2 linked regions of the Coturnix japonica genome follow. Each later gene encodes a partner of the first gene's protein in a complex. Links are inferred from orthologs where the notes say so. Each region holds a gene or a part of one and is shown on either strand. Other genes may lie near its edges.

Region 1 (3,807 bases):
GTAGGTGTAGGCTTGCCCAATAATCACATTGTGTGATCATTGAGGATTTATTCTTTGCTTTGGTTGTAGTCGGACCTGAGTCGCCTCTCTGAGATTGACAAGTCCTTGGCTGTGTTCTGTATGGCTACGTATGGTGAGGGTGATCCTACAGACAATGCCCAAGACTTCTACGACTGGCTGCAGGAGGCTGATGCTGACCTGTCAGGTCTCCGCTTTGCAGTAAGTGGTTTAATTCCAGTTTATGCTGTATTTGGGCAGGAAAGTCAAAAGCCTTTCACTGCACTTGCACGTGGCTTGGGTAAAAACACAACATGATGTCTATGCCTTCCACGCCTGTTCTGGATGCTGTCCTTACTGTCTTCCTCTCCAAGCTGCACGGATGTTTGCAAACATATATCTACGTGTTTTAAATGTAGCTGTCAGAGAGCTCTCTCCTCTCCCTGAATCACGAGGGTTTGCCCAAACAGCCCAGCAGACATTGAATATACGGTCTGTAAATGAGTTACAGGCTGCTGCTGTTGTTCAGGAGCTAATTGAGCAGCCTTTGGCTAGATCTTCTCTCACAAATTAAATTGCTTGGAGGAGTGTGTGGCTCTTTTTCTGTGCTCCGCTGAATAATTGGCTGAGATACAGCCACCTCACCTGAACGCCAGCCAAATTCCTTAGGCAGCATCACAATTGCAAATGAAAGGAAAATGCACTGCTGGAGATGTTAAGCTGCTCTGTAAGAAGCAGTTTGTAAGCACTTGCTGGGTGGTTTGTAGGAGGGGAAGGACAGAGGGTGCTGTCTGATGGAGGAAATCCAGTCCCTGCTTCTCCTTGACTATCAGTGTTCTCTTTCAGGTCTTTGGGCTGGGGAACAAGACTTATGAGCATTTCAATGCAATGGGGAAATATGTGGACAAGAGACTGGAGGAGCTTGGAGCCCAGCGCATCTTTGAGCTTGGGCTGGGAGATGATGATGGCAAGTGAGTAGCTCAGCTTGAAGGGTTGCTCTGAACTGGCTGTAGCATCACAGAAGGGTCCCTGGCAATGTGTTGGCTCTACTGCTAAGACAGAAGCAAACTCCTTAGGGCTAGTTATGGTGGTTGCCATGTCCCTGAGTGTGTCTGTTCTCTCTCATATAAATCAGTCACGTATACCCTGTATACCTTGCTGAAATCCAGCATCAGCTTTAAATGACCATAACTGTATATTTCATGAGGCTTCACAGCTTCTTCTGCCTTCGCACTTCTGCAGCTCCACTGATATCTGTGCCTGCATGGAGAAGCCCTCTCATCCCTGCAGATGAGACAAGCTCCATCTCCTTGTGAGCTGTTTATTTTATGGTTGAATGCAGCAGTTTTCCAACTCAGAGTCCAAGAGAAATTGTTTGTATTTACCTGAACAACCTCTTGGCAGAAGCTTAATGTCACGAATTACATTAACCTGTAGTTTTGCCTCCAAGGACAGCAAGATCTGATTAGAGGGATCTGCCCTGTGTGGGAGGCTCTGAATTCAGGAAAATAGACTTTTCAAAATTGGAATCTGGAAGGTGACCTCATGCCAGGAATGGGCAATGGGATGCTGAGATGGGCAAAGACACCGAGCCTGAGTTCCAGCCTTCTGTGGCTGTGAAGGGAGGTGTAGCAGGAGTTCCTTTCCTCATACTCAGTGCTCTGAAGATGCTCTTCTGGTGATGTGTGAGCATGTAGAGAGAACAGGCAGATGCCTTTTTCTATGGTGAAGGAGGAATTCCATAGGGATCTCAGTTGGCTCTTCTGGGAACATCCCTCTGCTTCCTCTTGAGCGGGAGTGTTAAAACTCTCTTTCTCCTCATCCAGCCTGGAAGAAGATTTCATCACCTGGAGAGAGCAGTTCTGGCCAGCAGTGTGTGAGCACTTTGGGGTGGAGGCTACAGGAGAGGAATCCAGGTGGGTATGGGAGCATTTTCATCTGGGTGCCAGAAAGATTGGCCACGTGATGGCTGTGCCATCAGGCCTGAGCTGCTGTCCCCTTTCCTGCAAGCTGTTGCTTCTTCCAGGCTTGAGGCACACACAGATTTGCAGTGCTCCCAACAGACAGTTCTCCTTGGTTTGGGCACTGAGCATTACCACCCTGCTTCCTGATGTGTTGAGATGGGTGAAGGGTGGAAGTGTCATTTGTTTAAACTGCACCATACCCAGTAAAGCAGGTGATGTTTCCAATTGGGTCTCGTCATTACCAATTTGACATTTTTTCCTATCTCTTCTGTCCCCTTTCCTCCTCCAGCATCCGCCAGTACGAGCTGGTGGTGCACACAGATGTGAACATGAACAAGGTGTACACTGGAGAGATGGGCCGTCTCAAGAGCTACGAGAACCAGAAGCCGTAAGTGCCAGACTTGCCTTTTGCCAATGGCATTCTTGATGTTTCTAACTACACAAGCTATGCAGGCAGTGTCATCTTAGCAACACAGCCACGTGGCAGACATCTGCCCAAGAGAAATGGGTTCAGATGTCCCCTGGGACTCTCAAGGGTTCCGCAGTTAATGAGTCATTCATGTTTGAGAGTTTGGCTGTGTTCTCCTACGCTGTTTGGCTGGTAAGTGTGCAGCATTTGTCCTGAGGTCAGTCAGAGCCTTTCCTCCCCTGGAGTGGTTACTGTGTGATGGTTGCTTGCAGTATTGTTGTGGGGAGGTTGTGTAAATGAATTACAACCTGAAATACCATTTTGAGAGGTGACACTCCCTCTAATCTGCTGTTGCATCACTTGTTCTAAATGGGATAGGAGCTGTTGGTTGCCGGGCTGTACTTAGAAGGAAAATGATTGTTTTCTCTGCCAACTGTGGGTAGCAGCAGCATAAGTTTTGTGCTATGGTGTGCTTTGAAACACGAGCCAGGATGGCTCCGTGCTCTAATGGTGGGACCCTGCTCTGGAGACAGAAGGAACATATCTAGATGAAAGCAGTCCTGTGAGCCTGCAGGAGAGTAACCCAGAGGGACCTTGTCTTTCCTCCCAGGCCGTTTGATGCCAAGAATCCCTTCCTGGCTGTGGTTACAGAGAACCGTAAGCTGAACGAAGGTGGGGAACGACACCTGATGCACCTGGAGCTGGATATCTCCAATTCCAAAATCAGGTAGGTTCTGGGAAAAACTACTGTGATTTTTGGAGCTCCCCTGTAGAAAAGAAAATGATGGTTCCTCAACTACCATGACTGCTGATTCTTTGGGGTCCCTGGTTCTGCAGGTGCTGTGCAGCAGCTCAAGTTTCAGTGTTATCTTTCTAACCAGCAGCCTGTCCTCCAGCTGAGCATCTCAGGCTCGGTATGGACAAGAAGTAGTGCCTGTATTTCATCTCTTCCCCTCCTGTTCTTGTACCAGGTATGAGTCTGGGGACCACGTGGCTGTGTATCCGGCCAATGACGCATCTTTGGTGAATCAGTTTGGCGAGATTCTGGGCACAGATCTGGATACGATCATGTCACTAAACAATTTGGATGGTGAGTATGGATCCACTCATGCAAGGCCTCTGTCCTTCCCACTACATCACGCCCACAGGTCCTGTAAGACACTTCCAGGCAGAGACATCCCATGGCCACTCTGAATGCATCTTGCAGTAGTGGCATAGTGCCTGTTTGCTGCAAGCCAGCTGAAGTGGATCAGCTGTGACATGTTTGCTGTGCCCATTCAACAACAAATTATGTAACAACACGCTCCTAATTACGGAGCACCAGCCCACCAGAGCATCCTTTTGCTGCAGCAGCCCCAGAGCTCAATAGGAGCTTTCGAATCTGAAACACTGTTATTCAGTCCCTGTAGGTTACACACAGACTTGGGAGCTGAGCTG
Region 2 (4,570 bases), on another chromosome or scaffold:
AGAGCCGTGTGGATGTGGCACTGAGGGATGTGGTCAGTGGACATGGTGGGGATGGGCTGATGGTTGGACCGGGTGATCTTAGAGCATGGATGAAAGGAGGAATATGGTTTAGGGAGGGTAGCTTGTCATATTATTACACACTCATGTAATGAATACTATCATTCAGTTTCATATCTTTCCTTGTTCCCCTGAGCAGAATTATAGGCTCAGTGTGTTCCAGTTTCCCATGTCCAAATAGGGCTCATTGAAAGAAGTGAGAACTGTGCTGTAAGCACATGATGCCAGTGGAAAATGCTCATTTCAAAGCCAGTCCAGTGGCAAAAATTGCACTGATGTCTTGAGGCAGGTCTGGCCTCTGTCTAGGAGCCAGGGGATGTTAAAGGTTTCTTCATGCTTGCTTCAAAGAATTGGACATCCCAATAAATATATTTTATCCAATAGCAAAATACGCATTAAGTGGCCTAAGGGTAAGAGCCAGCTTTTGCTAGAGCGCTCTGTAGCTTTAAAGAGCAGAGCAAGACAGGAAAAGCATGGCTGAGTCAGGCTGGGGGCGCTGAGTAATCCTTCCTGAGTGTGCACAGTCTCCAGATGTCAGCCCAGCACAGAGCTGTGTGCGTGCACAATCCCTCCAGGCCACCCCAAAACACTGCACCGAGCTCAGCTGTGCAGAGGACATATGATGCCCACCCAAATCCAGGTGGCCAGATAGACAGAAGACCCCCTTTCCAGTCCATGGCAGCAGGGTAATGATGGCTTTAAGTGCCCCACTCTTTTGGCTCCAAGGCAGAATGTGTGCTTTCCCAAAGCACAGATGAATGATGCATTCCCCGTCCTGGTTAGCTGAGCTTCCAGCATAGCTCCAGATGGAAGAGGGGCCCCACTACATCTGCGGGCTGCCTCCTTGGCTGACGCAGCAGACAAAACAGCAGAGCAGCCAGCAACTAGCAGGAGCACCTTGTCCAACTCTCCTGTCCTACATCAGAGAACCTATTTGCTTTCGCAAATATCTGCAGCCTGCCTCAGTCTCCCCGAAGCCCTGCATCACACCTTGGTAATCTGCACACAGCAGACGGGACAAGCCCCAAGGTATTGAGGGTATTGAGGGTATTGAGGGTATTGAGGGTATTGAGGGTATTGAGGGTATTGAGGGTACTGAGGGTGTTGAGGGTATTGAGGGGATGGCCTGCTGTCCTCCTCTACCACCTCACACATGGTGCTGCTCACTGCAGGGCCCACCTGCCGCACCAATTCAGTATGCAAAGCTCCCTGTGCCTTTAGAGGCTCTGAAGATGCTCACAGCCGTGGGTGATAAAACATTGACACCAGCCTCTTTCTAGGGCAGATGCTGCAGAAGCTGCATCCCCTCCTTGGTGCTGTTACAGGGGTGAATTCCTCCAGCCCTCCCAGCCGTCCCTGGGGGCTGCGGGGGGGCCCAGCAGTGGGAAGGGAAGTGCAGCGTGTTGCAAGAAGCGCGCTCACATGAGGTCAGCGGCTGTGCTGCTCACGTGGCTCGCCTGTATAAAGCCGGGAGCAGGAGCCGGGTACAAAGCGCAGCGCTTCTCGTCCCGGGAGCGGGTTCGAACAAGGAAACCAGAGGGAAACAGAGGCTCGAGAGCGGGCGGAGAAGGATGGAAACTTCGCAGCCACACGGCGCTGAAAGGTGAGAGCGGGACGGGGAGGAGACGGAAGCGCTCAGCCGGCAGTGCTGTATTCAGCCCTGCTTTCAGTTGCGCTTCTCCTCTCACCTCTGGATGCGTTCTGGCCGTGCTCCCCGCTCAGGACGGAGGGGGAATGCTGGCAATGCTGTCCCCGGCTCGGCTCCTTTTCCTGCTGTCCCCGGCTCCCCCTTTTCCTAAGGTCCCTTTGGCTGGAGCAGAGCAACAACACTGACATCTGTTTTGCTTCTCTCCCTCACCCAGCATGTCCCAGGACCTGTCGGAGCTCCTGAAGGAAGCCACCAAGGAGGTGCACGAGCAGGCAGAGAACACACCCTTCATGAAGAACTTCCAGAAGGGACAGGTGTCCCTCCACGAGTTCAAGGTAGGGTGTAACAGCACGGCAGAGCTACTGTCACATGTAGTTAAAAGAGGTAGAAGAGTGGGCAGGTATTGGGTCAGACTGGATATGGGGGCTGCAGTGGCACAGGCTGCACAGGGAGGTGGTGCAGTCACCATCCCTGGAGGTGTTCAGAGCTGTGTGGATGTGGCACTGAGGGACGTGGTCAGTGGGCATGGTGGGGGTGGGCTGATGTTGGACTGAATGACCTCAGTGATCTTTTCCAACCTTAATGATTCTGTGATTCTATGAATGGAGCGTGAATTTAGAGTGCTCTAAGCGGTTACAGCTAGAAATAACGATGGAATAGCAATGAAGTGAGGCTGTGAGATCATCTCTGGCACCACACTTGACAGTGTTTTAGCCGTCACTGGGGTTATAGCAGAGCTGAGATCGGGAGCAATTGCTCAAAGGCAGAGTGAGTTGGAGCAAGCTGTGCCTGCTGCCAGCAGGTAGGAGCCTGTTGCATTGCTTGAAGTGTAAGAGCTATGTGCCGGTACTAGTCTGCGTCCTGGCTAGGAACAGGATGGATCTGAGCCACGTAACAAAGCCGTGAGCAAAAACAATGCAAACACCTGGCTGAGAAATTCCCAGGAGGCCGGAGGACCTGACGCACGGCTTTGCAAATAACAGCTAACGATCCAGCCCGTGGTTTAATTGCTTTGTTGTCCAATAGCTCCTCAATAGATAAATGCACGAGAACAGAAATTAGTCCATTTATTTCTGACAGGTTGTATTCACAGCACTTAGTCAAGCATGAATCCAATGGCAGGCGCTGACTTCCCGCTGATAGGAATGGGGCACTCGTTGGGCAGTGGACTTTGAGACAAGCCGGTGATGAAGAAAGGCCTCTGAGATTCAGGAGCACGGCTTGGTTTCCCAGAAAATATTTACCCAGTGATGGGAAATGGGACGTGACGCCGGGCTTTGAATAGCAATAGCAGTTTCCAAAGGCCACCTTCCCCACTGAACCACTTAAAACAACCGGCCAAGTTAATCTTTCCTCATTGGTTGGGCAACGTTTTTGTTTCGGTTCCAATCCAATAATGAGTTATTGTTTAAAAACATCTTTCTTTCCCCCCTTATTTACCTTCTTGGCAAACCCATTTACCTGCCCTGACATGTGACTCCTGGGATCTGAAGATCAGTTTCCACAACAAAGTCACTGCCTGTGTGTGTATCAAAGTCCTGTTTGCAGTGGTGAAAAGCTGAAATCATTCCCGCAGTACTGATCCCTCTGTTGGGAGGGTAAACTGCTTTCTCTCTAATTCCCCTCAATCTGACTTTGACTCTGTACCTCCATGTTCTACGCTTTGCTGCCGATAAGGGATTTCAGTGTAAGTGAGAAGTGGGGATATAGATACGTACACAGCCTCTACAAACAGGGTGCCCATGGAAGGGAAGAACACAGCCAGATTGTCTTATGCCACGTGGAAAAGCTGGCAGATATAGACGAAAATAGCATGTAAGCTGGGAAAAACAATAACAGTGGTTTCAAAACAGAGGGATGAGCACATAGCTGCACAGTGATCCTTCACAAAGGCATCTTTCAGAGGCCTCCTGTCCCTTATATCTTGTCTCCCTGGGGCAACCAAAGAGGCATTCCCCAATGAAGCTGAATGAGGCAAAGGGGTGCCTCCATTCCTGTAAGCATTCAGATTGGAGCAGTACACTACGAAATGTGCCTTTGGGAATGCTCTCTATATTGGCTGGGGGGATGAAGAGAGCAGGTGAGGAGTGACTTAAGTTTCTGTTATGTCAAGCCGGGAGAACTTTAACTCGAAGGTGAAGGCAGCAGCTTTTAAGGGCAGGTAAGGCCAGCATCTGCTGAAATGGGCTAGATGGTGTCTCACTGCCCCTTGCATCTCCATTTGCTGTCCAGGAAACCTGCAACATAACATATATACCGCATAGTGTAATACTGAGTGTGCATGAGTAACTTATTTGTTAGTGGGATTTGTCCCAAAAGCAGACAGACTCACATGTAGCTCATCCTCTTCTGTTTCAGCTGGTCACGGCATCCCTGTACTTCATCTACTCTGCTCTGGAGGAAGAGATCGAACGTAACAAGGACAACCCTGTCTACGCTCCTGTTTATTTTCCGACGGAGCTACATCGGAAAGATGCCCTGGAGAAAGACTTGGAGTACTTCTATGGCAGCAACTGGAGGGCAGAGATCCCATGTCCTGAGGCTACTCAGAAATACGTTGAGAGGCTCCACTACGTTGGCAAGAAGAATCCAGAGCTGCTGGTGGCCCATGCCTACACTCGCTATTTGGGAGACCTGTCTGGGGGGCAGGTGCTGAAGAAAATTGCCCAAAAAGCCCTTCAGCTGCCCAGCACTGGAGAAGGGTTGGCTTTCTTCACCTTCGATGGAGTCTCCAACGCCACCAAGTTCAAGCAGCTCTATCGGTCCCGCATGAACGCCCTTGAGATGGATCATGCTACTAAGAAAAGAGTCTTGGAGGAAGCCAAGAAAGCATTCCTGCTAAATATACAGGTGAGTAACAACCAG

The links.
Region 2: the proteins of NADPH--cytochrome P450 reductase (region 1) and HMOX1 are in contact, whole or in part, in a crystal structure (PDB 3WKT), measured with the Rattus norvegicus proteins. The link is inferred for Coturnix japonica from reciprocal best matches to the Homo sapiens genes POR and HMOX1. Residues at the interface, in NP_113764.1 of Rattus norvegicus: Thr88, Thr177, Asp208, Asp209, Arg313, Arg514, Lys515, Gln517, Arg519, Leu520, Phe522, Lys523, His626, Lys665, Met667, Thr668, Lys669, Gly670, Tyr672; in NP_036712.1 of Rattus norvegicus: Asp12, Ser14, Glu15, Gln38, Ala75, Pro76, Glu81, Lys149, Ile150, Lys153, Ser171, Asp173, Asn174, Thr176, Lys177, Phe178, Lys179, Gln180, Leu181, Arg183, Ala184, Arg185, Asn187, Thr188.

What each region holds. Positions count from the first base shown.
Region 1 is NC_029534.1:3,220,359-3,224,165, reverse strand, and holds part of NADPH--cytochrome P450 reductase, read left to right. Parts: intron 1-69; coding exon 70-219; intron 220-843; coding exon 844-968; intron 969-1,823; coding exon 1,824-1,913; intron 1,914-2,250; coding exon 2,251-2,349; intron 2,350-2,980; coding exon 2,981-3,097; intron 3,098-3,341; coding exon 3,342-3,460; intron 3,461-3,807. UniProt on the Homo sapiens protein: This enzyme is required for electron transfer from NADP to cytochrome P450 in microsomes. It can also provide electron transfer to heme oxygenase and cytochrome B5.
Region 2 is NC_029516.1:47,610,622-47,615,191, reverse strand, and holds the start of HMOX1 (heme oxygenase 1), read left to right. Parts: upstream 1-1,519; 5' UTR 1,520-1,628; coding exon 1,629-1,660; intron 1,661-1,919; coding exon 1,920-2,040; intron 2,041-4,063; coding exon 4,064-4,555; intron 4,556-4,570.